Linked DNA regions of Rhinolophus ferrumequinum. The protein of the gene in region 3 purifies or fractionates together with the protein of the main gene of each other region. This does not show direct contact. Links are inferred from orthologs where the notes say so. Each region holds a gene or a part of one and is shown on either strand. Other genes may lie near its edges. The genes, in order: UPF3A, UPF3B, UPF1 and SMG7.

The links.
Region 1: the proteins of UPF1 (region 3) and UPF3A purify together in Homo sapiens (affinity purification with western blotting; 5 studies listed by BioGRID and IntAct, with this or other methods). This does not show direct contact. The link is inferred for Rhinolophus ferrumequinum from reciprocal best matches to the Homo sapiens genes UPF1 and UPF3A.
Region 2: the proteins of UPF1 (region 3) and UPF3B purify together in Homo sapiens (co-immunoprecipitation; 16 studies listed by BioGRID and IntAct, with this or other methods). This does not show direct contact. The link is inferred for Rhinolophus ferrumequinum from reciprocal best matches to the Homo sapiens genes UPF1 and UPF3B.
Region 4: the proteins of UPF1 (region 3) and SMG7 purify together in Homo sapiens (affinity purification with western blotting; 7 studies listed by BioGRID and IntAct, with this or other methods). This does not show direct contact. The link is inferred for Rhinolophus ferrumequinum from reciprocal best matches to the Homo sapiens genes UPF1 and SMG7.

Annotation. Positions count from the first base shown.
Region 1 is NC_046287.1:56,480,870-56,488,244, forward strand, and holds the start of UPF3A (regulator of nonsense transcripts 3A), read left to right. Parts: upstream 1-4,360; 5' UTR 4,361-4,413; coding exon 4,414-4,617; intron 4,618-5,906; coding exon 5,907-6,013; intron 6,014-7,375. UniProt on the Homo sapiens protein: Involved in nonsense-mediated decay (NMD) of mRNAs containing premature stop codons by associating with the nuclear exon junction complex (EJC) and serving as link between the EJC core and NMD machinery.
Region 2 is NC_046284.1:37,074,595-37,081,620, reverse strand, and holds the start of UPF3B (regulator of nonsense transcripts 3B), read right to left. Parts: upstream 3,020-7,026; 5' UTR 2,931-3,019; coding exon 2,775-2,930; intron 1,893-2,774; coding exon 1,786-1,892; intron 1,621-1,785; coding exon 1,514-1,620; intron 1-1,513. UniProt on the Homo sapiens protein: Involved in nonsense-mediated decay (NMD) of mRNAs containing premature stop codons by associating with the nuclear exon junction complex (EJC) and serving as link between the EJC core and NMD machinery.
Region 3 is NC_046301.1:51,445,940-51,453,616, reverse strand, and holds the start of UPF1 (regulator of nonsense transcripts 1), read right to left. Parts: upstream 3,009-7,677; 5' UTR 2,890-3,008; coding exon 2,659-2,889; intron 1-2,658. UniProt on the Homo sapiens protein: RNA-dependent helicase required for nonsense-mediated decay (NMD) of aberrant mRNAs containing premature stop codons and modulates the expression level of normal mRNAs.
Region 4 is NC_046305.1:14,980,673-14,987,989, forward strand, and holds the start of SMG7 (nonsense-mediated mRNA decay factor SMG7), read left to right. Parts: upstream 1-4,305; 5' UTR 4,306-4,505; coding exon of another isoform or gene 4,506-4,534; intron 4,535-7,317. UniProt on the Homo sapiens protein: Plays a role in nonsense-mediated mRNA decay. Recruits UPF1 to cytoplasmic mRNA decay bodies.

The DNA.
Region 1 (7,375 bases), on a different chromosome or scaffold from region 3:
CTTATTATCATTTATTTATCTTTTTGGACAAATGTCTATTCAAGTCTTTTGCCCATTTTGAAATTGGGCTATCTTTCTGTGGTTGAGTTGTAGGCGTTCTTTTACAGATTTTGGATGTTAAACCCTTACCAGATACATGTTTTACACATATTTTCTCCCATTCTTTGGGTTGTCTATTCACTCTCTTGATAGTGTCCTTTCATACACAAAAGGTTTTAATTTAATGAAGTCCAGTTTATCTAGTTTTTCTTTTGTTGACTGCTTTCGGTGTCATATTTATGTAACTATTGCCAAAGCCAAGGTTATGCAGATTTTTACTTATGTTTTCTTATAAGATTTTTAAAAAAATAATTTTAGCTCTTAGTTGTCGGTCTTTGATCCATTTTGAGTTAATTTTTGTAAATGTAAGTTAAAGGTCCAACTTCATTCTTTTGCATGTGGATATTCAGTTTTCCCAGCACCATTTCTTGAAGAGACTGTCCTTTCCCAGTTGAATAATCTTGGCACCCATGTCAAAAAATAAGAGAGTTTATTTCTGGGCTCTGAATTCTATTCCATTGGTCCATATGTATATCCTTTATGTTAGTATCACACTGTTTTGATTGCTGTAACTTTGTAGAAAGTTTTGAAATTGGGAAGTGTGAGTCCTCCAAACGTAATCTTTTACAAGATTGTTTTGGATATTGTGAGTCCCTTGAATTTTCATATGAATTTTAGGGTAGTTTTTTCCATTTCTGGGGGAGGGGGAAGCCATTGGGATTTTGATAGGGATTTTACTGAATTTTTATGACTTAATATTATGTCGTCTAATCCATGAACAGGATGTCTTTCCATTTATTTATGTCTTTAATTTCTTTCATTGTTTTGTAGTTTTCATTTACAAGTCTTTCACCTCCTTGGTTAAATTTATTCCTCAGTATTCTTTTGGATATTATTGTAAATAGAATTGTTTTTTTAGTTTCCTTTTTGGATTGTTCATTCCTAGTGAATAGAAATACAACTGATTTTTGTATATTGACTTTGTATCCTGAATGTATTTATTAGCTTTAACATTGTGCGTGTGTTTGTGTGTGTGTGTGTGTGTGTGTGTGTGTGTGTACGTTGTATTATTTAGAGTTTTCTCAATAATAGGATCATGTCATCTACGAATAGAGAGAGTTTTATTTCTTCCTTCCAATTTGGATTCATTTCATTTCTTTTCTTTGCGTAACTGCTCTGGCTAGGATTCCACTATTGTTTTGAATAGAAGTGGCAAAAGTAGGCATTCTCGTCTAATTCCTGATCATATAGAGAAAGCTTTCAGTTTTCACCATTGAGTATGACGATAGCTGTGAGTTTTTCAGATACCCTTTGTGGTGTTAGAAAAGTTCCCTTTCTTCATAATATACTGAGTGTGTGGTGGCGTTTTGTTTGTTTGTTTGTTTGTTTTTAATCAGGAAAGGGTGCAGATTTTATCAAATGCTTTGTTTTTGATCAGTTGAGATGGTCAGGTGTAATGAGTTCTAGATTTTCAGGTCTGTTCAAGGAAAAGACATGACCATGAGGTGGCAGTAGCACATATGCTTTGTTTTTGATCAGTTGAGATGGTCAGGTGTAATGAGTTCTAGATTTTCAGGTCTGTTCAAGGAAAAGACATGACCATGAGGTGGCAGTAGCACATTTTGTTTGGGGTAGCTTTCTTTAAGCTGTGCTTTGACAAGTTGTAGGAGGGGGTAGCCCCTTCCAAAGACAACAGTGTGGGACCTCCACCCAGAAGGGGACCACGGCAAGGGAACTCCTGGGGGAGGGGAATCACAGAGGAGGTTCACATGTCTTGGTGATGTAGTAGTAGCAACATGGCAGTCTCTGCGTTAGAGAAATCCTCAGTGCAGCAGCAGCTTGGAGTCTTCTATAGCCTGGGGTTTTTCTTATTTATGCTAGTGGATGCTGTGTGTAGTATTGCCAGGTATGCAGAACAGGCAGGCTCTAATTGGCTAAAGATATATTGTTTGGGCTATATTTAAAATAATTGCAAGTGTAAAAATTTGATTTGGTGCTGGTGGACTGGAGCTAACCATTCCAGCCCGCTGTGAAGTAAACAACATAGAGAGCAGTATACAAGAGCCATCTTTGGTTCATTTATATAACATCTTGCAGGTTTTTTTCCCTTCATTCTATTAATGTTGTATATTACATTGACTTTTTGTGTATTGAACCACCCTTACAATTCTGGGATAAATCCTACATGGTCATGGTGTATGATCCTTTTAATATAATGCTGAATTTAATTTGCTAATATTTTGTTGAGATGTTTATATTCATTAGAGATATTGGTCTGTAGTTTTCTTGTAGTATCTTTGGCTTTGGTATCGGGGTAATACTGGCCTCATAGAATGAATTAGGCAGTGTCCCTCCTTTTCAATTGTTTAGAAATGTTTGAGAATTGGTGGTAATTCTTTAAATGTTTGGTAAACTTCACCACTGAGGTCATCTTGTCCTGGGCCTTTCTAATATATGTTTGGAGGTTTTTGATTACTAATACTACCTCCTTACTTGTTATAGCTATTTCTTCTTGAGTCAGTTTTGGTAATTTGTATGTATCTAGGAGTTTGTCCATTTTATTTAGGTTATTCAATTTGTTGGTGTATAGTTGTTCATACTATCCTGTTATAATCCTTTTTATTTTTCTAAAGTCAGTAACAATTTCCCTTCTATGATTTTAGTAATTTGAGTCTCTTGTCTCTTCTTTACTTTTCTTAGTCAATCTGGCTAAAGGTTTGTTAATTTTGTATACCTTTTCAAAGAACCAACTTTTGATTTTGTTGACTTTCTCTGTTAATTTTCTAGTCTTTTTTTCATTTCCACTCTAATCTTTATTATTTCCTTCCTTCTGCTACCTTTGGGTTAAGTTCTGGTGTTATTTTTCTAGCTCCTATAAGGTATGCAGTTAGGTTATTGAATTAAGATTTTTTTTTTTTTTAACATAGGCCTTTACAGCTGTAAATTTCCTTCTGAGCACTGTTTTTGCTTCAACCTATAAGTTTTGGTATGTTGTGTTTTCATTTTCATTTGTCTTATTTTCTAATTTTTCTCATGATTTTGTACCCATTGGCCGTTTGAGTGTGTTGTTTAATTTCCACATTTTGTGAGTTTTCGTTTCATTCCATTGTGGTTGGAAAGGATACTTGGTGTGATTTCAATCTTTCTAAGTGTATTAAGACTTATCTTGTGGCCTAATTTGTGCTCCATCCTGCAGAAAGTGCCCTATTTGCTTGAGAAGTATATTCTGCTTTTGTTGGGTGGAGTGACTCCCTTGATCTCTTAATGCCTCACTTACTCCATTTTCTGGTTTCTTTTTTGATTTCTACTTGAAATTCTTGGGATAAAGGTGCTGTGAATAAAATGTGGCCAACATGCATAAAGAAAAGTGAGAAAGTATAAAATATAGCATTTAAAAACGAAAAACTTTCATCTATGTTATTCTAACCAAGTGTCACTGCCTGCATGTTTGTAAAAGAAAAGTATACAAATGTAAATCTGGCTTGGTTGCTGTTCCATTGAGAGCCCCAAAAAGCTGAGTAAAAATCGTATTGGAAAACCTTCTGAAGGCCCTGTTTTGTGGGTGCCGTGGGTCTATTAGTTACTCTAACCCAGCCTGTGATGCGTAGTCAGCGTTGACACCTGAGCGCTTGAACCTTCCACGCTGGCCAATTTCTGCTCTCAATTCTGGTACATTTATTCTATTCCGAATAGCAAAGCCATGTAGCCATTTGTGCTGTTTGTCAATTGGTTGATTTTTCTTGAGTACAATTACTATTCTGTTGAAACTTTCAGACTCCTTTGGAAAAGAATAGCTGTAAATAGTTTATGAAGCGCGTGAATGTAATTCTCAGGAATGTTTAGCTAAAGGACCAGCTCTCCTCCGTGGGAAAGTTTCAGCCCTTCAGAGTTTTATTAAAGGCTCCTTCTGGAGCCAAACGTCCTCTGGTGCTGAATTTCCCGCTGATCTCCAAGGCCTTGGAACCCTCCTTCGTCCCAAGACTCTACGAAGTCCGGGCTGCAGGAGAGTGCGGGCAGTCTCGACATCTCAACCACCCAGACCGCTGCTTCGGTTGACCACACAATAGAGCGCTGGTCGGAGGTGCGGGTCCAGGGGCACCCCGTGTACCGGGACACCAGACTCCAGGCTTGGGATCCGGGCCCAGTCCGACAGCCCCTGTTTCCCGGGTGTCTCCAACCCCGTGAGAGGGGCGGGCTCGGAGGTCGTGGGCCAGAACCGGACGTGGGTAACAGGGACCGTGGCAGGGGGAAGGAGGGAGGGGCGGGCGGCATCTGAACCAGGGGGTGGGGGTGGCAGTGGGGGCGGCGGCATTCCAGTTCTCGCGAAGTTTAGGCCGGGGCGGGAGGCGGCGGCGACTCTGCGGCGGGAGCGGAATGCGCTCGGAAAGGGAGTGTGCCGGAGGCCCCGGGGCGGCCGTTGCTGCGCGGGGCCAGAGCTGGAGGGAGAAGCCGTCGGCTGCGGAAGTTCAGTTCCGCCGAGAGTCGCCGCGGCGAGAGCCAGCATCGCCGCTGGCTTTGTCCTCCAGCTGTGGGAGCAGCACAGGCAAACCTCGCGAGAAGAGGACAGTCCTGAGCAAGGTGGGTGTGGGACAAGGAGCGGGGGCGGGGTGAGGACGGGGCGATGCAAGCAAACTTCGCGAAAGGAGGAACGTGCTTCGCAGGATAGAGCGGAGCGAGAACGGGTTGTGCGTGAAACCCCGGAGGAGAGGAGCTGAGTCCTAGGCAGGACCCGGGGATGCGAGGGCAGGAGTGGGGTGGGCTGAGAGGTGCCGGCAAACCTCGCCAGAGAAGGAGGGATTTCCGCGAGCCGAGGCGGGACGAGGACGGGGTGGTACGAGCAAACGTCTGGAGAAGAGATTGGTCCAGACCGAGAGGGGGAGGCGGGGCGAGTGGAAGTGCGGGGTGGTGATCAGGAGAGAGAGGGAGTGGGCGAGGCCAAGGGGTGGAGTGGCAGTGGAGGGGGGGAGACCAAGGGGGGTGACCAAGGGTGGTGCGTTCCGTGGGTGGGTGGGTGGTGTCCAGAGCTGGGCTGCTGGGCGGAGTCGGGGCGGGGCCGCTAGCGGGGGAATCAGCACCGCGGACAGCGGCCGGGCAGCGCTGCGGCGAGCAACTCTTACCGCCTGAGACAAGAGTTTTCAGCACCCTCTGAAACGTTAGTTCTTTATGGATTGGGAAGGAAGAAAAGTCTTTTCAGCGTGTAGAGCTGAGACACTGGGCTCACCAGCGAGGGGCAGTAGCTGTCCACAGTGCTTTGGACCACGGCCTGAGGGGGCACGAAAGGGGAACGGCGGCTCGCCAAAGGTCCTTTCCAGTATAGTGAAGCCAAGAGAGAGAGCCTGGAAAGCTTGGTGGCGCGGTGGGTGAGGACCCGCGATGTGGACACTGTGGACCGGAGGCGAAAGGTGTCCAGTGCAGGCGGAGTTCCTCTTGGCAGAACCAGCAAATACACCGTTGGTTTGCTACTGTTGGTAACAAAAATTCCAACATACATACATTCCCTGCGTAGATCTTACCTTCTACTGTGGGTTATCATGCAGAGAGAATGCAGGAGCTGTTATTTTTCACTGGGGGCACAGACAGTACGTGTCACGTGAAGTGTTGTTTGGTAGTAATGACATGATTGCATGAAAAAGAACTGTTAAGCTCAGCCTTTTCTGACCTCACTGATCCCTTCTCAATTATTCAACTCCCATTAACCTTTTGACAGCCATGTTGTCCATATATGTGTTCCTTAACTGTTCCTAAAATGTGTGCTTTTGAAGGTTTATATTTTCCTTTGAGCATACACATAGGTCACCAAGCATTGAAATAATTGAAGGTTAATACAGTAAGAGTGAAACAAAACCCAGCCAGCCTCCTTTCCCCAGGTGGTGATCCGGCGCCTTCCTCCCAGCCTCACCAAAGAGCAGCTGGAAGAGCAGCTACACCCGCTGCCTGCACACGATTACTTTGAGTTCTTTACTGCAGATCTCAGGTGAGCAGCTGTTTACCAACATTAAGAAGCTGACAGGGTCGGACAGGTGGCTCAGTTGGTTAGAGCGCGAGCTCCAGGCAATGGGGCTGCCAGTTCAATTCCCACATTGAGGAGCCAGCAAGCTATGCCCTCCTCAACTAGAATGAAGTCAGTGAGGTGCTGCTCAGCTCCTGGGTGGCCAGATGGCTCAGTTGGTTGGAGCGCTGGCTCTCAACCACAAGGTTGCTGGTTCAACTCCCGCAAGGGATGGTGGGCTGTGCCCCCTGCAACTAACAGTGGCAACTGGACCTGGAGCTGAGCTGTGCCCTCCACAAATAAGATTGAAAGGACAACAATTTGACTTGGAAAAGTCCTGGAGATACACACTGTTCCCCAATAAAGTCCTGTTTCCCTTCCCCAATAATAAAGCTGAGAGACATTGTCACTTGCTGGCAAATTATTACAGGTAATAGAAGCCATCTCCACTTCCATCTTATTTCCCACATGTACCGAGAAATTAGTGCAGACCTTTATTTCTGCAAGTTATTTCTAAGTAGGCAGATCATTAAATTCCTGTAAAATAGATTTAAAATATGCCTCTACTAGCACCACCGTAGTCTAAAAAGAAACACATACCATTAACAACATACTATTTCCTTATTGTATTTTGCACATCAATAAAACTTATTTCATAAAACTTTTTAAAGTAAATTGTATTGAGATATAAAAAAGAGTGAATATAATGGATATATAACTCATGAATTTTCACAAATGAACACGCCCATGTAACTTAACACCAGATAAAGAAACAGAATATTCCAGACCCTAGAAGCCCCTTGTACTCCCTTCCATCACTAACACCCAGACCCCACACCGCCCCTCTCAAGTTGTATCTTTTTTAATTCCCTTTTACAGCTTTGTAGTTAGATGACTCTGACAAAACTTCTTACTTCCAAATCTTTTCATTAACAGAGAGAGCCAACCTCAGGTTAGACCTTCAACAGGTGACAGACAGTTCATCAGTGATTTAGTGATTTTCACTATGTTTGTATCATTCTTTATTATCATTATTATTCTTTTTATCTTCAATATCATGAGTTCTCATTTATGGTAGCCAAATAAACTTTCCTTTTGAATAAATACATTTAAGTAAAAAATGTCAGTCCATTCAACAAAAAAATACCACTAACAGGTAAATACAGATATGGTTAAAAAAAACACATAAAGATGATTTTCAAATGACTAAAGTTTAGGAAAACTGGTACAGTTAAAGGAGGACAGATACTGGACTAACAGAGTGACTCAGATTGGAATCCTAGTCCCACCTTTTAACTAACTGCACTCCCTGCAAGTATCTAGTTTCTCTGAGCCTCAGTGTTCTCA
Region 2 (7,026 bases), on a different chromosome or scaffold from region 3:
ACAAGGTGTAAAGACCACTGGCATATAGACATAAGCCAGAATAAAGTAAGTAGAATTGACCAGAAGGCATCACAAAGCAGTCATGGAGGAAACATAATTTTGGAAAGCCTGGTACATGCAGAATCACATTAGTTTAATAACTGATGTGTTTGAAAATGAATAGATAACCCAGACCAAAGCAGAACGAAACTGTGGAAGATAGGCTGAAGAAAACGGAAGTGAGGCCAGACTATGGAGGGTCCTGACTACCAGGCTAAGGAGTTTGGACTTTTTTTTTTTTTTAAAAAAAACTTTTATTTATTTAAGTTTGTTTTTCCAGGACCCATCAGCTCCAAGTCAAGTAGTTGTTTCAATCTAGTTGTAGAGGTCACAGCTCACAGTGGTCCATGTGGGGATCTAACCGGCTGCCCGGAGTTTGGACTTTTTCACAACTATTATTTTAAATGACTATTTCCAAAAAGATTAATTTTATGGCAGTTAGACTGAATTACACAGAAAAGGAAAAAAAGGAAAACCCTGTAAGTTTAGAGACAGTGGTTGTCTAAGCATTAGGTGATGATATCAAATATGAAAATATTAGTTAGACTGGATGAATAAGACATTAAGAAACAAATTTAAAAGATTCATCAATTCTTTAAATGTAAGGGATAAAAAGGAGGAAAGAGTTAAACACAACTCAGAGATTTCCAGGTTAAGTCACTAGGAAACCATTGCTATCTACGGAATATAGTTGCTGGAGGGGAGAAGTAGCTAGTTTGTGGGGATTTATAAAAGTTGGACAGTGGCAATCCTACTTTTACAGGCATATTCCCTGGTAAAGCTTTCATTTTCACTAACTTTGAAGTAATACTGAAAACAACAAAACTCAACAAAAAGACACATCATTCACTATGATTGCAAAGCCAAAGAAAAGTGACAAATGGCAGTGAGGACATTCTCTGGCTAAATGTTGCAAGCCGCAGAAAATAAATAGAGTTAAGGCAGAAATTTTTCTTCTCTTTAGACTCCTGGATACAAAGTGGGAGATCATCAAATTCGATGTTTTAATTACATACAATTTAGAATGTTAAACAGTATTCCAGCATGGAACTATTGGCTTAAGTTATTTGAATTAAGTAAACAAATGTTGATCCCTGAAGCAAGATGAGAAATGTTTAAACTTGCCATACAAGTTTAAAGAGTCACTTATGAGTATAACTGCTGAAACTGGTCAAACAACAGATTTTCTAATTCAGGGCAAAAAAATTGTCACAGGAGGAGAAAACAGGCAATTTCATTCAGTTGATCAAACTATAGAAATAACGGGTTAATAAAAATACCAGAGGACTGTGAAAAGACACATATCTATGTATAAGATTATAATAGGTTTGTCAATAGGTTAAGTCTTTAAATGTTGCACGTTTTATCATCCAGGATTTTAGAAAAGCTATCAAGGCATTAAGAAAACACTGTGATAACACACATTGTCTTAAACACAAATGACAAAGAAACTCTTTTAGTTACTAGAACTCACCTTTATTGTCAAGGAATACATAACCATCAAAGCGATCCCTGAACAAAATAATGTCCTCTTGATTTTTAAAGTTGATGTATGCTCTGGCATACATATGAGGATACAGACTGCAGAGAGGAAAGCAATTATGTAAATATGCTTGCAGGTGTCTGGCTGAATTGTAAGAATGCACATATTAAAGAGACAGGCTCAAAACTCAAATGGAAAACAGTAGGATAAAAAAGAATGGAAGAAACCTTTTTCATTTACCCCCCTTTATTTATTTATTTTACCTAGTATCATTAGAAAAAAACTCAAAATAATCATGCTCTGGCATAGGCTGAAGATGTTCCTGAAGCTGCTCCTTGGTCAAAGTGGGAGGTAATCTCCGAATTACCACCTTCAGAAATGAATAAGTAAAATAAAATTAGTACAAATCAATTTTCAGTCATACATGAATGAATCACCATCCCTGAAGAAAGCTGTGCTTTGAAAGATGAGATCATTTATAAAAACCCAGGAGAAAATAGTCTCCTAATGTTCAGAATTAATAAAAAATAGTAACACAGTTTTTAAAAACTCTTAGAAATGAGAACTGTCTGGACCAAGGAAAATCTCAGGTTGAAGCCCCGAAGTTTACCAGGTTTCCACATCATTTTATATCACCCATTTTTCAATAGATGTAGTGGTAAGAAATTAGTAGGCCAACCCTGGTCTTCTGTGGGTGCCACGAACTCTTGATTTATTATTTCCCTACCACATCCAACATCCTAAAACAAAACCCTTCCTCATTCAGCATAAAGAATTCAAAACTCTAAGGAATATCCCGAATGCCCTCATTGTTCCCAAAATAGGATGCACCCGATCCGGCCCCCAGACCATTAATTTCCCCATACTCCTTCAACTCGCCTCCATTAATACTCCTATCACAAACTACTCCCACCCTTGATAGTCCCTTCAGTATTTAATAATTTCCCCCAATTAATGTTTTAATTCCTCATTCTCTTCATTATCGCTCCCCACCCCTCCCATTATCTCACAGCTCTGACCTAAACCCTTCTCCATCTGGGAATCCCCTTTCCCTCACTCCCACCCCGGGGCTTGGCCGGGAGGGGCTCCATCCATTTCGGTCCAGAGATTAAGACAGGGTGATGCGGTTTTCACACAGGGGAAGAAATAGAAGGGTCGACCGGGAGAGGAAGAGGGCAACCCCATTCCCAACCATCCTCCATGGGTGGCGAACGCGTCCCGCCCTCTCACGGGCCAACGGCGGACCAGGCACCTTGCTCAGCGCCTCCCTCTTCTCCTTGTTCCGATCCTGCTTATCTTCCCCTTTGGTGCTGTCCCCGGAAGCCCCACCGCCGCTGCCTGTGGCCCCGGGGGGAGTCAAGAGAGTTACTCGCTTCTCCTTAGGCCTATGCTCCTTCTCTTCCTTCATGGCCACTGCTTTGCTCCTCACAGTCGAAGCTCGGCCCAAACGCCCATACGCGGAGCAGCTAACGACTGCCGGCCCACCTCCGTCAAGACTCCGCCCCCACCAAATGCCCCTAGTGATAAGACGGCCCCGCATTCCATTGGGCCTCGTCAGGATCTCGCGAGACTACAGGGCGCCCTGCTTCCTCTGGAGGAGAGGTTTGAATACCTGGTCTTAAATTCACCCAGCCCAATCCGCGCACCGCCCAGTCCCCTCGCGGCGCAGCAATTCCTCCATCTTGACTACAAGCACTCTTTCCTGGACTACAAATCCCGGCATGCAAAGCAGTTACCCGCTTCTGGCTGGGAGCTCTGGAGCCTTAGGTATCTCAGGGTCTCTATTTTTAAGTAAAAGGAATACTTCAATATCGAATGTTTAGTGTTTCTCAGATCGAAAGATAGGTTCTGCGTGCTGTCCTTCATATCGTGTTCCTCTGATAAACCCGATGTTATCCAAAGTGTACCTCACTAGGGGAAACAATTTGTGTTTTCTATCATTGATTCTGAGGGGAAGCAGAAATTGCCAACCCAAAATGTCTTTTGGGATATTGATTATTTTAAGCTGGTTATTTTTTAATAAAAAGACTCAGGCAGGACCTTTCACCTTCTGCCTAACTGCCTGTTCCGACGGAGTCTGAGTTGTTCTAACATTTGTGCCTGAGAAGCCACAAGCCCAAAGAACACACCAGGTAACTGGGTGCAAGATAGGTATTAGTGAGACTTACAGACTGGGAACAGTCGCCAGTGGTGGCCAGCCAGAGGAGTAGCATTCTGCACACAGGCGCAGAAGCAAAGTTATATAAGTACAGTAAAACAAAGAGCATTCCATGGGAGAAATCATCTGCAGGCCCTGCAGGCCTGCTGTCATGCAGTAGCATTCCCATGGAGCCAGGAAACCTTGACTGCCAGCTACCTTATCTGCCTGTGGACAGGTCCCTACATCCCGCCCCCTCATCATAGCTCCCAGATTCTTGCAGGTTGAAGATGTACATTGTAACCAGACACCACAACAACAACATAAGCAAAGGAAAAACAATAACAGGTCCAGGAGGAAAGCAACAATACCCAAAAAATGTGAACAGCCAGGAGCGAGTGAGGGAGGCTAACTAATCAGAAAAGGGGTCATATATAGGGAGCTCTGCTTTATCATGGGCCCTGGATTCTCAGTAGTGACATGGGAGGGGTTTTAAGACAAAGGTTGGGGATATTACTAGTCTCTATTCTATACCAATACTCCACGGGGCTAAGATACCCAAGATACCCAACCACCAAGGCCTGGTTTGCCAGTGCCATGGCCAAGAGACCGTGTGTGTTCCTGTGGGTAAGTCTTGCGGCAGCAGCAAGAAGAGGTTGCTTCTGGTGCCTCACTGAGGCATGAGACTGTGTGGCCCAATCACTTGAATTCAGAGGGCCTGGTAGGGCCCAGGTGTCAGGAGAGCAAATGAGCTGGGCCTTCCTCTTTCTTCCAGGGGAGTCATGGATGGTCCTGAGGGGCTGACGCAGCCCGGTGAGGCTGTCTGCCTCATGATTTCCAGGTGGGGTATTTAACTTTGCATGAGCTGGGATCCCCTTCTTAACCAGTCTACATAATGGCCTAAGGATTTAGACCAAGTGGGGGATGAAGGGTCGCCCAGGAAGCCCCAAAAAGTCTGTAACTGGGGGACAAATGAGGGGACGGGAAAAGACTGTATTTTGTCAGTAACTGCTTCTGGCATGACTTTTGTCTTACTCGCCCACGTAACACCCAAGAATTTGACAGAGAACCCAGGCCCTTGCACTTCGGTACAGTTCACTGCTCATCCTTGTTGCTCCAGGTGGGGAATCAGCGTTCCAGCTGCTTGCTCTGGATCTGAAAGAGACACATAAGGTAACATTATGTCATCTATATAGTGAAACAGGTGCACCGAGACAGGCTTTTACCAGAGCTGAAGATCAACTTGCCACGAGGCCATGGCACATAGTGGGACTGTGTAGGTAGCCTTGGAGGAGGACGGTAAATGTCCATTGTTGCCCTCCCCATATGAAGGCAACTTGGTCTTGACTAGCTATACTGAAAAAAACATCAGCCAGATCTATGACAAAATGGTATATTCCCAGGGCTTGTCCAATGCCATCTAGCAATATTAGGTACAGCTGCATATGCGGGGGAGAGGGGGCAGTTACCTTATTCAATTCCCGATAGTCTACAGTCATCCTCCAAGTGCCATCTAGTTTTCACACGGGCCACACAGAGCTGTTGAAGGCGCTGTGGGTTGGGTGAACAATGCCCACTTTTGCCAACTCCTGTATAGTTTGGGTTATCTCTTCTCCCCAGCAGGTGATATTGCCAAGTATTTGTTATGCAACGCGGGGATGGGAGTCTCAAACGAGATCATTTGGCATGTCCCTAGGTGATTGCCTTCACCACCCTGCATCACAGTCTAAATTCCCCTGCTGTTGTGTTAAGTGTAAGGCTTGCCAGAATGTCCACGCCCTAGATGTATTCAGGCATGGGTGAGATATGCACTACATATCGTTTAGAGGGGAGTTGGCCAATTTGTAGGTATATTTTAGCCCTAATAGTGCTTCCTCCACAGGTCCCTGGAAATAGTTGGTGTTGCCATATATCAAAGTGCATTCAGCTCCGGTATCAACAAGAGCTAAAACCTTCTGTTTATTCTTGGAAGACCAGTGGATGGTCAGTTCTACATGAAACCTCCGATTCTCAGCGTACACCCTGACCTGGAGTCCGGGGCCTTGGCCTCCATCCTACTGCAAAAGGTATGTGTCTGGCAACTCGCCAGCCTGTCCCCATACTGTGCGTACCGCAGCAATGAGCCACTCCATTAGAGAATGGTTGCCCTGGTTTTGAGCCAACCTATGGCAGTTCTGTAACCTTTGTCACAGGGACGGATGCACTGTCACGACGGCTAGCTTTTCCATCTCGCCTGGGGAGCAGAGAATGTTGTCTGCTCCCTTATCCCATAAACGTAGTAGCCAAGCGGAGACTGGCTCTCCAGGGCTCTGTCTGTACCACCTCCCCAGCTCCTGCAACTCAGTGGGAGTGTAAGGGGTGTAGGTTGTGAACTAAATCACAGCTGGGTTGCCTGCAGCAACGCCCCCGGGGTCACGTTTTACCCTTTGCTTCAAGATTGGCCAGGCTAGGGGTTTGGGAGCTACGTTGTCTCCACTCACTTCCTCCGCCTCTGCCTCAGACTCTCCACTGTGGGGCTCCTCTTCTAACAGGCGGACCCGGGCTTCCAGAGCCTCCAACCGGGACACCTGGTCCGGCACCTGGATCATTTCATTAAGCGCACTTTCCGTTTTGAGACTCAACGCCATGAGGAACATCCAGTCCACGCAGCCGGCTGTAGCCTTCGCCTCCTCCGGCAACCGCTCAGCCAGAGCCTGCAGGGCCCTCTCCACGGTGGCCGGAGAGCCATCCATGTCCTCCCACCCCTCCTTGGGGGTCCAACTCCTGAGAACAGTGGCCAACGGACACCATACACTGTGTGGGGTCAAGCCATGTGGCAGGACCTCTGGGACCTAGGGCAGAGAAAGGAGGTGACCCTAATGCATGTCACAGGTCAGTCCCCTTTAGTGTCCCCAGGTAATGATGAAGCAGATGCCCTAGCACGGGTCTGATGGTTAGAATGGGCTCCTGCCACTGATGTGGCCCATTGGCTGCATAGGAAATTGCAGCACGCTGGAAGCCGAACAATGTGGCAGGTGAGCAGATGCTGGGGTCTGCCTTTGAAATGGCAGGAGATAGCAGATGCCTGCTATGACTGTGCCGTCTGTGCCCAGGACAGCCCCCAAAGGTGGAGGATCCACTGGGAGACACAGCAGATTACACGAGGGAGGGTGCCCCTCACTCGCTGGCAAGTGGATTATATTGGTCCCCTGCCTAAGGCCCGCAATGTGATGTATGCGTTCACAGCAGTGGACACTGCTACAGGGTTGATGTTTGCTTGGCCGTGTCCAGCTGCGGATCAGCGGCATGCATTGGTCGCTCTTACACGGCTGTGCGCCCTCTATGGTCACCCCCAAGTCATTGAAAGTGACAGGGGTACCCATTTTAT
Region 3 (7,677 bases):
CGGAGGGAGGACTGTTAGGCTAAGGGGTCTAGGGTTTCTGTTTAGGGTGAAGAAAATGTCTTAAAATTGATTATGGTGGTGTTTGCACAACTCTTTCAGTACTAAAAGCCACTGAATTGTATACTTTAAATGGGTAAATTGTATGGTATGTAAATTCTCTTTCAATAAAACTGTGAAACAAAAGCAGCTGCAACAGCACTTGACACTTTACAACCACTAATCCAGTAAGATTCAATCAAAAGGCATTTAGAATGGGAGGTTTCTGAGTCTCTCTGGCAACCCCGTCACACAGTTCATTCCGCAGCCAACTCCTGAGGACAAACACGGAAAAGCTCCCCAAATGCTGTGACCAGCAAACGCTGTAGGGAGCAAATGCCACCACCTGGCACAGAAGATAATCAATTTTTTTCCACTTTCCAATTCTATTCAGACTTTCCTGCCCCCAAATTCAGGGCCTCCTCTTGTGACACAAACATCACTCCCCTTCCCCAAATATAAATCAAAAATTAGGCTACAGGTATAGGTGGGTGGCTCATCAGGGTAACTAAAAGTAAGGAAGAACAGGCCCTTTTGATGTCATCAGAACTCAAGTGAGCTCCACTGTACTGTTTACCTCCAGTGGGGAGTATTAATGCTTTTATATTGTACAGCTCAGTGTTCAGGTGCAGGAAAATAAATCGATTACTTCAACTGAAAGAGGACACGCCGCAATTAATCACAAATATGAGGAACAAAACTAGAACCCCAGCTGACCCATGTTTGCTGTGTTGTATTGGCTACAGTTAAAAAAAAGATTTGCAAAAAACCAATTACTATTCACAACCCTGCGCTGCCACAGATCGTGGTCACTGCTTGACCAAGAGATCTTTATCCTGGACCTTCTAGACACACTGGGCACAAGTTACAGACAGCACTATCTAGCCCATATGAATGAGTCCAGAGATCATGCATGTTTAAAAGTAACAAAAGTAAAACTGCTATGCCCCCATTTTACAGCTGTGGCAACAGAGAGGTCTACAGAGTCAGACTACAGAAGTGATCACACACCTCCAGGGGCTCTTTCTTCTCTCCAGGCAGACTCTCCCTCTCTCCTCCCTCCCTCCACCACACATAAACAAAACTGAAAAATATACACACTTGCACACCTGTTCTCTCTGATGCCCCACCGATCAGACTTCTATTTTTAAGGAATCTGGGGTTAGAATGAGTCAAATGTTTTTCGCTTCTATTAGGGGCTAAAAGAAATGCCAAGTGGGTGGTCTACCCACGGGAGTGACTCAACCAACGACTCCCAACTAGCACATAACCCTCATCCCCCAGAACAGGGTCTGAGCTCACTCTGGCTGAGGATGGGGTGGTCGCCCCAGCCCAGGCACTGGGACCTCATGCCTTGACACCTGTGATAAGGTGAGCCTTGTAGCTCCTCCCTGGCTGTGAATTCAGGAAAATAAACCTAAGGGACGTGCCAGGCACAGGGAAACCTGGGGAATGGAATCTGAGATCCAGAGGATGATGGAGACATTCCCTGGGACCCTAGTCCAAGACCCTACCACTGGGAGAAAGGAGTCCCTTTCTCCCACTGGGGAGCAGGCATCCAGTTCCAGGAAGTGTACGCCTGATACTTCTCATCCCCCAAATTCAAATTTAAAATACCTAAGTCGCTTTCACTAAACATTCACATCATTAAAAACAAAAGTTTCTGATGTGGCAGATCCATTTATGTAAAACCCACTATCACTGCCCACTGGAGGAACAAACTCAAACCCAACTTTTCCAAGGCAGAGCTGTGGAGTTACGTAACAGGTCGGTTTCAGCAACAGGCAATGCAAGAAGGAAAAACAAAACGCAACCTGCCTCTTGAATAATCGCAAAAGCCAGCGAATGTGGGGTTCTCTCCACCGGAGGCAAAAATTCCATTTGTGCTCCTGGAGCCTGCAGCCTCCGCTCTCCAGTCCCTGGGCCTGAGGAAATTTGACCCTAAGGCTCCGTGGCTGTGAGAAGGGGGGTGTCCAGATGACTGCGACCACAGGTGGGGGGTGTGAGGCACGGTTCCCATTCCGCCAGAGTGGGGACCCGGGCAGATCCTCTGAGATCCAGGCAGAGGGCAACTTGGGGACAAGTCACCCATGACCTGGCAGAGAAGTACGTAGGGCAGGTCACCTCGTACATGCTCGGAAGGAAACCTATGGGAAGTCACCTAAGACCTGGCCTGAGCTAGATCCGGGACAGTTCTTAGGCTTAGGGGGACTCAAGGCAGATCCCCGAGACGCAACCAGAGTGGGACCCGGAGCAGGTCTGCCCTGCGCCCAGGCGGTGTGTGGGACCGGGACTCGTTACTCTGAACCTAGCCAGAGTCGGGGTCCTGAGAGATTACTCCGCACTCGACCTGAACGGGAAACATGGGACCGGTCAGACCAGGCTTAGCCAGAGTGAAGGACCTGGGACAGGTTACCCCGGATCCAGCCGGAGTAGGGGATCCGGGGCAGGTCAGCCCAGGACCGGCCGGAGTCGGGGACCCGGGGCACATTGTTCTGGGCCCAGATGGAGTGGAGAACGAGGGAACAGGTTATCCCGGGCCCGGCCGGAGTGGGGGAGCCGGGGCAGGTCCCCGGGCGCCGAGGCCCGGCCGGGCTTCCGGCGCCGCCATGTGCCGCTCACCTGAGCGTCGAGCTGTCCGCCCGCAGCGCCAGGTCCCGCGCCGACCGGGCCCCCCGAGCCGCCACCTCCGGGACCGCCGGGGCCGCCGGGGGGCGTCTGCGTCTGGCTGGGAAGAGTGAAGTCGGTGAACTCGAACTCGGAGCCCTGCGTGTCAGCGCCGAGCAGCTCGGCCTCCTCGGTGTCCAGGAAGGTGAGCGTCTGCGAGCTGGGGCCGTACGCCTCCACACTCATGGTGCTGCCGCTCAGGGCCCGCTGGCCGGCTCCGCGCCGCAATCGAGCCCGCAGCCGCGCTGAGGCCTAGGCCGCAGGCCTCGGGCCGCCGCCGCCGCCGCGCCCGCGCCCCTGAACCGGACCGAAACGCCCGCCGCGGCACGAGCCGAGCCGAGAGCCGCGCGCCGAGCCGCCGCCGCTGCCTCGGAGCCCCTCGGCACCACAGCTCCTCTCAGAGCCGCCCGCCGCTCGCAACCCCCGGCAGGAACCGCCGCCGCTGCCGCCACCTCCGTGCGCGTGCGCGAGCCCGACGCCGGCGCAGGTGCGCGTGCGCGAGCCCGACGTCGGCGCAGGCGCGCGCTCTTCTCCAACCGCGCCCGGACGCCCAGAGTCGAGTGGGCCGACGGGACGCGCAGTGCGCACGCGCGGGGCGGAGGCGGGGCTATCAACTGCTGTCGCGGCGGCTGCCGGAGCACGTAGTCCCGCCCCAACTGCTGTAGAGGGGTGCTCGCGCGACGGTTGGTGCTGCTGCGATGGTCCACGCTTCTATTGAGCCCTAACTGAATGCCCTACGCAGATGGAGCTGGGGAAGTACACCACCATCTCCTGGAGACGCCCCCTGGTCCTCAGTCTTCCCATCTGTAAAACGGGGGTGTCTGCACACTTAATAGGTGCTCAGTGTGCAGTGGTTCAATAAACGAGTGGGGACAGCCCTGCAGGGATCCTGTTGCTCGCAGAAATGGTGTTTGCTGCTGCCTCAAACAATAATATTCAGAGGCAGTATATAGCAAAGCAATTGGGACCACAATCCAGACCTGACTACCTACCAGCTGTGTGACCTTGTACTAGTGATTTCACCTCTCTGAGCCTTGAGTTTCATGGGAAAGGGAATTAATAACCATTAAGATGAAGAATAAATGAAATACCAGTCACCCCCTTAATATTTATAAAGTTTCACGTGCATGGGGTTGGCTTTATTCATTATAAGGTCTTTTCTATGCGGAGAATAATGCCCCCACACAGTAGGTGCTCAGTAAAAGGTTGTCCAAATTCAGCCGCTGGTTTATGAGCCTAAATCTCCTTAAATTCCGAGCCTCAGGATCCTTTTTTGCAAAATGTTTTGAAGAACCCTCCACTTCCCTTTCTGTCCCAAAATTCTGGGGCCCTCTAAATACTTGAAGTCATCTCACACGGCTCCTGGTTTATTACTGATACTTTATGGTTCCACATTTTCCAGTATTCCTGTCACAACGTGATAAGAGCTTCCTTTTTCCTTCTTCACATCTTCTCTGGCCTCCTGTGCACTGAAATGTGAGGGTATAGAAAATGAATAATTAGATCTCCCCTCCTCCAGGAAGACAGTTTAAGGGGAAATCGGAACAAGCCAACAGATGGTTTCAATAAAATTCAAAGCCTATCCAATCAGCTCAGGTGCCTCAGGAGGGAGCCCAGCCCCAGAATGCAGTCGGGACCAGCTGACCCCCAGGTCCCAATGACATGGTAGCCAGGATTCCAGATGTGTTCCTTAGCCCTCCTTTCCCTGTCACCCCAAGACCTTCCACTCCCTTCCTCTGATAGAGCCCTCTTCATAGCCAGCATTAATCATAATTGTGATTAAATTATTGTCAGTGCGATTATTTGTCTAATGGACACCACTTTTTTGTAGAGGATACAGGCTGTTGAGTGCCCTGCCCAGAACTTTTTTACTGGTTGGCGCACCCCCATGCCAGCTGCTGCAAGTATTGACTGCTAAAGGCTCACAACCACCCCTTGTGAATTGTCCGGGAGCAAACTGTCTCACCAGGGAGGTCATGCCCCCTCTAAAACATATACACCCTAGGAAAGCCCATGCCAAGGACTGAATGGTATGCGGCACAAGAGGCTGAATCCCTCGCAACTAAATGGGACCAGTCTAATGTCATCAGGCTCCAGGGTTCCCCCCTCACCCGGATCAGACTGAGGCTTGATTCCAGCTGAGCCCACTTCCTTAACTTGTCCTGCGTCCTTCACTCCCTCACACATTTCCCCCAAACTCACACCCCTGAATCTCCATCTCAGGCTCTGCTTCTAGAGAACCGATCCAATCCAAGGCAGAAACCAGCTCTCTGAAGGGCAGTAACTGTGTCAGTCTTGTTTGCTGTTCTATACCCAAGGCCTCGTGCAATAGTGAGCACACAATAGGTTCTAAATAAATGTTTTAGGGGACAACTCTTGAGCCCTTGTCACTGCTTGGGTAGAACAACGAAGTGTCCTATTACCCATGTTTAATGAAGGGATGACTAAAAGAATTGTCACATTTAGTCAAAATCTTCGCTTCTCAGTCATCTCTGGCACATTTCTCCCACGATCCTTCCCAGAGATGGCTACCATGAAAAATACTGACACTGTCACACGCTGGTGAGGACAGGGATGAACCAGAACTCTTGTCCAGGCTGCTGGACAGACAAACTGGTGTAGCCGCTTAGAAAGGCAATTTGACCATTTCTTTAAAAGTTAACCGTGGACCCACCATGGGAGCCAGCTTTTCCCATCCTCTGTATTTGCCGGAGAGAAATGAAAGCAGACCTTGTACACAAAGGCTCACAGGAGCTTTATTTGCAATCATCACAAACTGAAAACAACTAGAAAGTCCATCATCAGGAGAATGTATGAACACACAAGATACTTCTCATCAATGAAAAGGTGTGCACTACTGACACTCTCAACAACACGGCTGTACCTCCAAGGCGTAATGCTGAGTGAAAGAAGCCAGACCCAAAAAGCTACATACTGCAAGATTCCATTTATAGGCTATTCTAGAAAGTGCAAACTAACTAATGTAAATGGACAGAAAACAGATCAGAGATTGCCTGGGGAGGGATAGGAGGTAGGCAGGAGGGAACATTTGGGGTGCTTGCTGTATTCACTGTCTTGATCAAGGTGATGGTTTCACAGGTGTGGATGTATATCAAACACATCGAATTGTATACGTTAAACATATGCAGTATTTGGTATGTCAATTATAACTCCATAACGCTGTTTAAAAAAGTAGTGTCCATGACAGTTAGTAGTCTATGAAAAATGTGTGTGTGAGAGAAAACTATAACAAAGGCATTCAAAGCTGGGATGCAGAGATCCGTGTACACGTATGTACACAGCAGCACTAGTAACAATAGCCAAAAGGTAGGAACAACCCAAATGTCCACTGGCTGATGAAGGATAAACAAAATGTGGTCTGTCCATTCAGTAGTATGTTATTCAGTCACAAAAAGGAACGAAGCACTGACACACGCTACAACATGGACGAACCTCCAAAACATCCTGCAGAATGAAAGAAGCCAGACACTAAAAACCTCAGAGTGAATGATTCCATATAAAATATCCAGAATAGGCAAACCCATAGCAACAGAAAGCAGATTAGATGTTAGCCGGGGCTGGGGGTGGGGGGGCGGGAGCTGGAGATGGGGGCTTATCGCTTAGTGGATACTGGGTTTCTATTTGGGGCAACGAGAAATTTTGGAAGTAGATAATGGTGATAGTTGCACAACATTTGGTGAATGTACTTAATGCTCCTGAATTTCATGGTTAAAATGGCAACTTTATATATTTTACCAAAGTAAAAGATTTTTAAAAATAAAATTCAATTAAAAAGAAAAATACATGTATGGCTATATTCTAAGCACATAGGATAGACAGTTGCTGAGTTTGGGTTAACCAGAGCAGGTCTGGATTCACATCCTCGCCCTGCCATTGGCTTGCTGTGTGACCTCTCTCAAATATCTTGGCCTCTCTGTGCTTCACCTGTGAAATGGGATTCCAGTGGCCCTAACACCCTACACATGTTATGTGAAGAACTTAAGGCAGTACCTGGCCACCAGCCATCAAACGCCAGCTCTTTGCGAATGCTTAGTCTTTTTTGCTTTGTCTGCATTTTAATAATTCATCATTGAAATTAAAAAAAAAGAAAAGACTAAAAACATTTCAGACCACACAAAGTCCTCTTGGGCCTTCAGCACAGGTGTGTGTTTCTCTCAGCCCAGGTAGATCTCAACCAGTCCTAGACCCATCCCACTCAGTGACTTAAGCCAACTTTAATTCACCCGCCAGCCCTAAATTCACAACTCTGCCCCACCTGCTGACCCAGCCCGTCCTCGAATTCCATGCCAGCCTCCAAGTCCGGGAAAATAGAATTCTTCTCTCGTACCAAGAGAGGTCCCTCAAGGGTAAGCAGCCGTGGCTGCCACAGGGAAATTCCACAACTTTGGGAAAAGGACATTTAGGATCCTGCAGCTGCTCCCCCAGTCCAGCCACTGGCCTCTTTGAAACCCTTTGTCGGGCTCCAGGCTCCCACAGATGTGGCCCTTGAAACCCCACCCTTGCTGAGAAGTGGCCAGCCCCACTGGACCATGGACTAGACCCCGTCTGAAGCTCCCCCAGGAACAGTGGGTGCTTGTGGGTTTCTGTGGGCCCCCCCCTCTGCAGCCCCATTCTTGCTTCAAAGGAGGCCCTTGTGGGACACGGATGTGTGGCCAAGGCCCCAGTGATGCTGGTGGGAAAAGAAAAATAAGTGTGTGTGTATATATTTTATAGTCTCCTCTGCTCTCTGAATGGTCTCTTTGAAGGTGATGATGGGTCACAGAAGGCCTTGGGTGGGGGGACAGCAGGCAGACACTTTGATTCTAATTCAACCACAGGTTGCTTTTTTGGGGGCACACTGGGGTGTCTGGAGAGGTGGGTTTTGGCCTGGCCTCAAAGCTCCAATTCCTACATCAACTCAAAGCTGCTATTGAGGGCAGCAGGGCCATCTAGCATCTCCCAGAGGAAGACGGC
Region 4 (7,317 bases), on a different chromosome or scaffold from region 3:
GAATTTGGGATTCTTACAGGGATTTGGAAGAAATTCTTGAAGATGAATGTAGTTTCCCTTGGTAAATATTAGGAGAATCACGGAAGGACAGAGAGCTCTGACTAGCATTCTCCAATCTCACAGCTACTCAAGCCAGAAGTTTCTGTTCTTGGATCTTAGACTGCAATGTTTCCTGACTGTTCTGCAGGCCTGGTAACTCCCTCTCAGGAGCGAATGAATAAATGTACATTTGGCAAACTGTGTTGAGAAAGCCTGCTGACCTTTGGTCTAAGAAATCATGAACTAGAGAAAACCTGAGTTTAGATGTCAGTTTGTATCTGACTCACTATTTGAAGAGAATGAATCACTCATTTGATTGAATCACCGAGCTTCACGATCTGAGGTGTGGTGCTGAAGAGAGCACAGGGCAGCTGCATACACATCGTGTATTTGAGTACTGCAATTGATAATTGATTCTTCTCATCAAAATAGAAACACATTTATGAAGTACCTAATTATATACAGGATTTCAAAACATTTAGAATATGTAGGCTAAATATTAAAATAAATTAGTACTTGTTAAGGTTTCATGGAACAGGTGAGATGTCTATTATTATAAAGAGGGAGGAGGCTTGCTATGTATTTATTGTCAGGTCATCAAAGCTCGGGGTAAATTTGGTAGGAATGTTAAGAGTAGCTTCTCAGAAAGTATCTCTGTTTACTTGTGCACAAATATGGTTATACTGGGCTGTTTTTAGTGAGAAAAAGTGTTTTTTTTTAAAGTTTCAACTCTCTAGAATCTGACTCACAATGTCCTAATACTGTATTCTTTTCTGTAATCAGAGTCAAGGATAAAGAAATCTATCTTCTAGCACTGAATGAGAATAGATTCGGGTGTGTAACCAGACCTATGAGTTCCTAGACAAAGACTAGATAAACCATTATTTCAAAAGATAATTTTATGCTATAGTAGTGCTAAATGATTCATTTTAGCTTGATATATAAGAGAGCAAGAGGATAAAAAGAAAATTAACGTTTCTCAAGTGCCAGTGTGGTATGTCAGGCACCCATGTACTCAGTCACATATATCACCATTAAAGTTCACAGGAAACCTATAATAGGTAATGTTGCCACTTTGGTCAAGGAAGAAACTGAAGTTCAGAGACTGGGACAGGCAGAGTTGGAATGCACACTCAGATGGGCTAGCTTATGATCTTTCCATAAAAATCACTTAAGCGCAAACTGAAAAACTTAATGTCAGGCAGGATTAAACAAAATGAGACAGCTTCTCTTTAATTTCTTTTGGTTTAGATGTAATCTCTATCCTCAGGAGGAAAAATAAATAAATACATTGCAGAAAGATGCTTGCATTCTATAAGTCAGTTGATGGCGTGGCAATAGAAAGAGGAGACTGGAAAAATGTACATTAAGCAATATGTAAGTTCTGGGTCAATTTTTCTGAGTCCTACTGATTTTTGAAAGTTATTTTCAAGATGGGCATCAATGTCTTATAAGCTGTAAAACGTAAATGTTACTATTTTATCCAGTTGGTGCTTGACATTGTAAAGCCATTGAAGAATCTTATAAAATTCTTAGGAAAGCTGGTATGAAATACAAAGATGATATTTCTGACCCTCATCTGTCAACCTAACGTACTTTGTTCTTACCTTCATTACTACACTCATATTTCATCCTAATCACTTCTCTACTCTCTGGTATCTCTACCAGAAGGTGGGTTCCTCTAAGACAGGGACCAAGTCTGTTTCACCCTAGTATCCATAGTAACCTGGGCAATGTCTGAAATGTAGTAAGCGCTCAGTAAATGTTTACTGAATAAACAACACAACAAATGGATTCAACTTTTTGATCCTAGTTTCCTTATTTCCAAAATGAGAAGACCCCAGTTTTTCGTTAGATTGCTTCTCAGGAGTGTCATGATACGCGCTCACGTACTGTTTCCCGGAGATGTGAGCCACAGACATAAAAGGCGTTATTATGATGAGTACTGAGGGGGTAAGTATTTTACATAAGATTTTTATTCTGGCCTAAATCTCTTTAAAAATCTAGCAAATACATTTCAGGAAAGAAATGTAGGGTGTTTTAGGTCAGGTGTAGTAGTAATCTCCATCTTTGGGCTCTCAGGGTTGAAGAACCAGAGATGAGAACAATCTCTCACTAGGGGGCTCTCTTTCCCCCAGTGGGCGGCCCGACGGTGCGAGCAGGGGATGTTGGAGGCATTTTACAGTTGCTGTCACCGTCACACTGCATCACAGTAGGCGCTGGCAGCAGGAAGGGCAAAGTTCAATTTCTATTTCGTCAATGAAAATCTGTCTTTGGGATTTATTTCAAAGTAGCCTGTGCTTTCATTTCTTCTAGGCTTACACATTATGTTCTAAATGGACATTGGTTCATTCTTTTAACAGGGGCGGTCTCGGGGAAGGATCTCGAAAGCGCCTCTTTACCTACGTAGCACAGAACACAGCAGGAATCAAGTACCCAAACTGAGTCAAACAAAAATAGCCCATTAAAACCCTCACTTTAAATATCCAAAGAGGGCTACATTTCTGGAGGGTTTTATATTGTTACACATCCCAAAGTACTTTGGGATCGCTGCTTAAACGACTCAGTACGAATCGAAAATATAATTTATGAAAAGTCAAATAATTCCTTCAAATCATTAGGATGACTTCCCCAGCTACTTCTCACACAACTCCATGCTATTAACCCCATTCTTTATTTCTGCCTTTTAACCCCAAACCTGACACAAAATACACATAGTAGACATTCAAAGAGTTGTTTTAATGAAAATCTTAGATACCTTTCACCGGAACTTCGCGCCAGTACCTAGGTTTTTCTTAATCCTATTTTACCCAACGCTTTCCTCTGCAACCCAAAATACAAAGAGTGACAAGTTCTAAACCACTGCAGACCCATCAGAGAAGGAAGAAGTTTGCAGAGGAGGGAGGAACTCGGTTTGCTTTTGATAACCAAGTGGGACCCCCACTGGGGGGGTGCCTCTGAGATGGCAATCGTTAGCGTCTCGCCACCTTCTCGGCTCTAAAGGCTGTAAACCCACGTTAGCCTTCTAGGATGTGTTCCCACGCTCACTCTGGCCTCCTTGCGGCAGGAGGTGGCTCTGGAAGGCCGCCCGGGTTAACTCCGAGGAGGCTCGTTAGCTGAGGGTGGATGTGGGGTGGGGTTTGGGGGATTTCTATAAGGGGTCGGTCGACCCGCTGGGTAAAGTCGATGTCCCAGTCGGCAGGAGAGGGATCGCGGCTGTCGTGTGCCGTTCTCCTCCCTCAGGGACCCCGTCCTGGCGGGATCCCGCCTCCCAGAGCCCGAGGCAGTTGTGGGGAAACCCCTCGCCCGCCCCGCAGCCCAGCGCCTCCGCCTCGCCCGCCAGCCTTCAGGCCCCGCATCTTCTTCGCAGGCCCGGCCCTCTCCACGCCCGGCAATAAGAGGAAACTATGGAGGTGGTTCCCGTCCTCAGGCTGGTGGAAAAGCCCATGGTGAATGCCTCGGGGTCTCCCCCAACGCTGCGGGAAGGGGAAAGGGAGGAGGAAGTGAACTTCACCGCCAGGGAGAACTACCCCGGATTCCCAACCTGGGGGAGGCCTTTAGATGTAAGGGAAGCCGGGGGGGAATCCTGGGCACCTTCCTGGGAATCCATTCGCAAAGGGAGGGTCACCCGCTCGGCGCACATTGGTTACTATGACGATACAACTACAGCCTCCAGTTGCCATAGCAGCTGCTTATCCAATCCGATTGGTTTCCTTTCTCCTCCTCCCTGGGCTCCATCTCATCCCCTCCAAATCTCCCTGCGTGCAGAGGGAGGGACCGCAGAAAGGAGGGGGGGTCCTCAGCGTCACTGTAGGGCGCGAGGGAAGACAAGAGTCGAGGGACTAGAGGGCGGAACTGTAGGAGGAAGGGTCGGCGTTTCCGGTAGGGAAGAGTGGAGGAGTGGAAAAGGGGAAAGTTGGATGGAGTGGAAAGACGGGGGAAGACTTTGAATGTAACTACCGGTAAATTTGGGCTCGATGTTCCCAGTGAGGCTGGGGTTGCCCCCTCGCGCGGGAGGAGAGGGGTGGATTGGCAGGAAGCCGCCAAGCGCCTTCAGCTGGCTGCTCAGCAGCCGCACAGTCGATGCACAGCCATCTGATCCCAAGAGGGAGCGCTACAGAGAGGCGGAAACCAACCAGAGGGACCGGCGCCGCTGAAATATCGCGAGAGGCACCCCACTTCCTTCCTCTGCTTCTCCCTCCTCTTCCCCCCGCCCCTTCCCTTTTCCCTCCTCCTCCCTCCTCCCGGGTCGGAGTGTCCCTGCGCCCCACAGACCGGAGCAGCAGTCAGAGCAGCTTTCCCCGCTCCCTCCCCCTTGCCTCACTCACCCTCACCCCCCCGCCGAGCGAGGAGGAGTCGGAGGAGAGGAAGATGGCGGCGGCCGCCAGCACCCGCGGTACCGCGGGGCCGCTCCGAGGAGCCTGAGAAACCCACAGAGGCTTCGCGGGAAGACGCGGCGGCGGAGGATGAGCCTGCAGAGCGCGCAGTATCTCCGGTGAGTGCCGAGGCCGGCCCCGTCCGTAGGGGGAGCGGGCCTAGGGTTGGGGCTTGGAGAAACAGACACAGAGGTGGTATATCCGGGGTGGCGGGGGAGTTGCTGTGTCCTTTCCTTCCCCGGCAGGGAGGCGGGGGCTGCTAGGAGCTCCGCGGGAGGCGGCGGAGCGGGCAAATACAGGGATGCCTAGCCACCGCGGGCCGGGCTGAGTTCCAGCGAAGCCGGCTGGTCGCGGTACCGGGAAGGAGGTTAGGGAAGCGTGAGAATGTGCGCGCGCGCGCCGGGGGTCGCGGGCTCGCTGGCTCGGGGTGGGGGAAGGTGCCCGGGGATGCGGCGGCGACCCCGAGTGGAGGTGGGTGTGGAGGAGGCTGATCCCCGGTGGCGGGGGAAACGTGGTGTGGTGTGGGATTGGCTGGAGCGGTGCATGACCAGAAGACCGTGGAAGTCTACACACCTGGGGTGTGTGGGGGGTTGGGGAGGAAGAGACCGCGGGAAACTGGAGTTTGTTCTTCATTCTTGGTGGGAAGTAATGAGGAATAATGTCATTTGTAGTTAGTTGGCGGGGTGGGGGTGCGGGCATAAAGAGGGGGAATGGATGAGGAAGTGAGGAAAGAGGGAGGTCCAATGGATGGGTTTGGGTTCACCTAAAGAACCTGGGTTAGAATCAGTGTAGTCGCGAGATACCATCATTAAGAGTGATGTTAAGGAACTTGTATGTGGAAGGTAGAGGGACGCGTGGGTACAGTGTGCGAGTATGAGCTGTGCGTGGGGTAGGGGGTGGGGGGACGATTGATACACGTTTTAGGAGGGAGAAGATGCAGACACTTTGGAAGCAAGTACAGGATGGCGAGAGCATATTGAATGGAAAGCCACCAGCTATTGTGCAGCCAGGACGGTTCCGCAGAAGCTGAGTTAAGACCTTGAAGGTAGAAGGAAACGAGGGTCAAAATCTTGATGACAGATTGTTAGAGTCTGAGGTTAATTGGGGAGTTGCGACTTCTTAGAAAAGGGGAAGGCAGATCTTAAAATGGATCCTTTTGGTCTTTCAGGAGCAGAACTAAGAAGGCAGGCTTATGGGAAGATGTTTTAAAAAGTGGTTTCATACCTTGTGGAGGAGGAAATTGGACGGGGTAGAAATCTGAAAAGAACAGAAAAGTCACTTGAGCTGTTTAGTGAAGTGAAAGTGTTGTTGTGTGAGTGGATCCCTATATGGACATCGCAAGAGAAGGTAGATAGTGATACATGAGGGTGGCTATTCTACTTTTGAAAGTAGTTATACTTTTATTAAGCAGAGTGGAGAAGAGAGAATGATGAAATCTTTGAGTTAATGGTGGAATGCCTGAGCTTAACAGACACAGGATCCACGCAACACGTGAGCCCAATGACTATAGGGCACTTGGAACGCCATCTGTATATATCAAGCTCCTTTTTCTCTCCTCTTGCCTGTTTATTGTTTAATATATCAGATAAACAATAAATACAACTGTGTCAAAGATGTATGGTAGATGGTGTAGAGGGAGGATATGGAAACCATCAGGATAGTCCTTAATTTTCAGGACTTTGCAGTTTAGTACACATTAGGCAAGTAAATAACAACAGTACAGAGGAAAAATGGTAAGTATCATACATGATGCCAAGTGTTATAAGAGTCCAAAGGCAAGAGATTATCTGAGCGGTTGGGGGGAAGCAGGAAAAGCTTCCTTTGTTCATGTGCTCATTCATTCACTGCTCGTCAGTCATTTTGTTGATCACCTATATGAGGCATTGTACCAACTGCTGAGAATAGAAAGGTAAGAACTCCACTCTCCTCTGACAGAGTTTACAGTTTGTTAGGCTTCAAGGAGAAAATAACACTTACACTGGACCTGAAAAATAAACAATATTCTGACAGGTGGATTGAGAAAAGGGGGTTCCAAATGGAAGGAAACCGAGCAGAGCTATGTAGGACGTGGATGTTGGGGGCCAGGGGAGGTGTTTAGTTCATGTACACAAGAAGACAGGGTGATGCAGCTAGAAAAACGTATAGCGTTTTGTAGGTTATTAAGTTTGATCCCTTCTTTTTACAGATGAGGAAGTATAGCCCAAAGAAGTTAAAATTGTTGAGGACCATGTAGCTGGAAGCTCTGTAACTCAAATGTAGGTCTTCTAATTCCAAATCAGCTATTCTGTGCAACATGTCTGGGTTCATCCATTTTTTCCCACAAATATGTGTTGAAAGCTTACGGTAATTCTAGGCATTGAGGATATCGTGGAGAACAAAATGAACAGAATGATATGTTTATCAGGTGGTGACAAGTACTAGGAAGAAAATAATGCAAAGCAGGGACATGCTGTTTTATAGTCGGGGTGATCACGGAAAGAATACTCCATAAGGTATTTGAGAGGGTCTTGAATATCATGATCTGTAATTTATAGTTAAAACGGGTGGACAGTAGACAATCTGAGATTTGTTTAGAAGGGAGTTCACGTGTTCATAGTTGTGTATTAGGAAGAGGAACCTGGGTACTGTAATGGGCAGTTAAGGCCCCAAATAAGGGGGTGCCAGTGGGACAGGAAAAGTACGATGAAAAGCAGACTGAGAGAGTAGTGATCATTTTAACAGGAAGGTCAGTTGGCTTTGAGAGGCTTCTGTGTTAATATATATTACATTTTGTAATTCACCATGGTCAGGAAGACTTACCATTCAGTTGGGGAATTAACGGTACACAGCTGGAGATGAATTTAGTTCTTAGCAGAAGGGAGAAAAGAGTAAGAATGAACACAATGTTTGAATAACCTATATT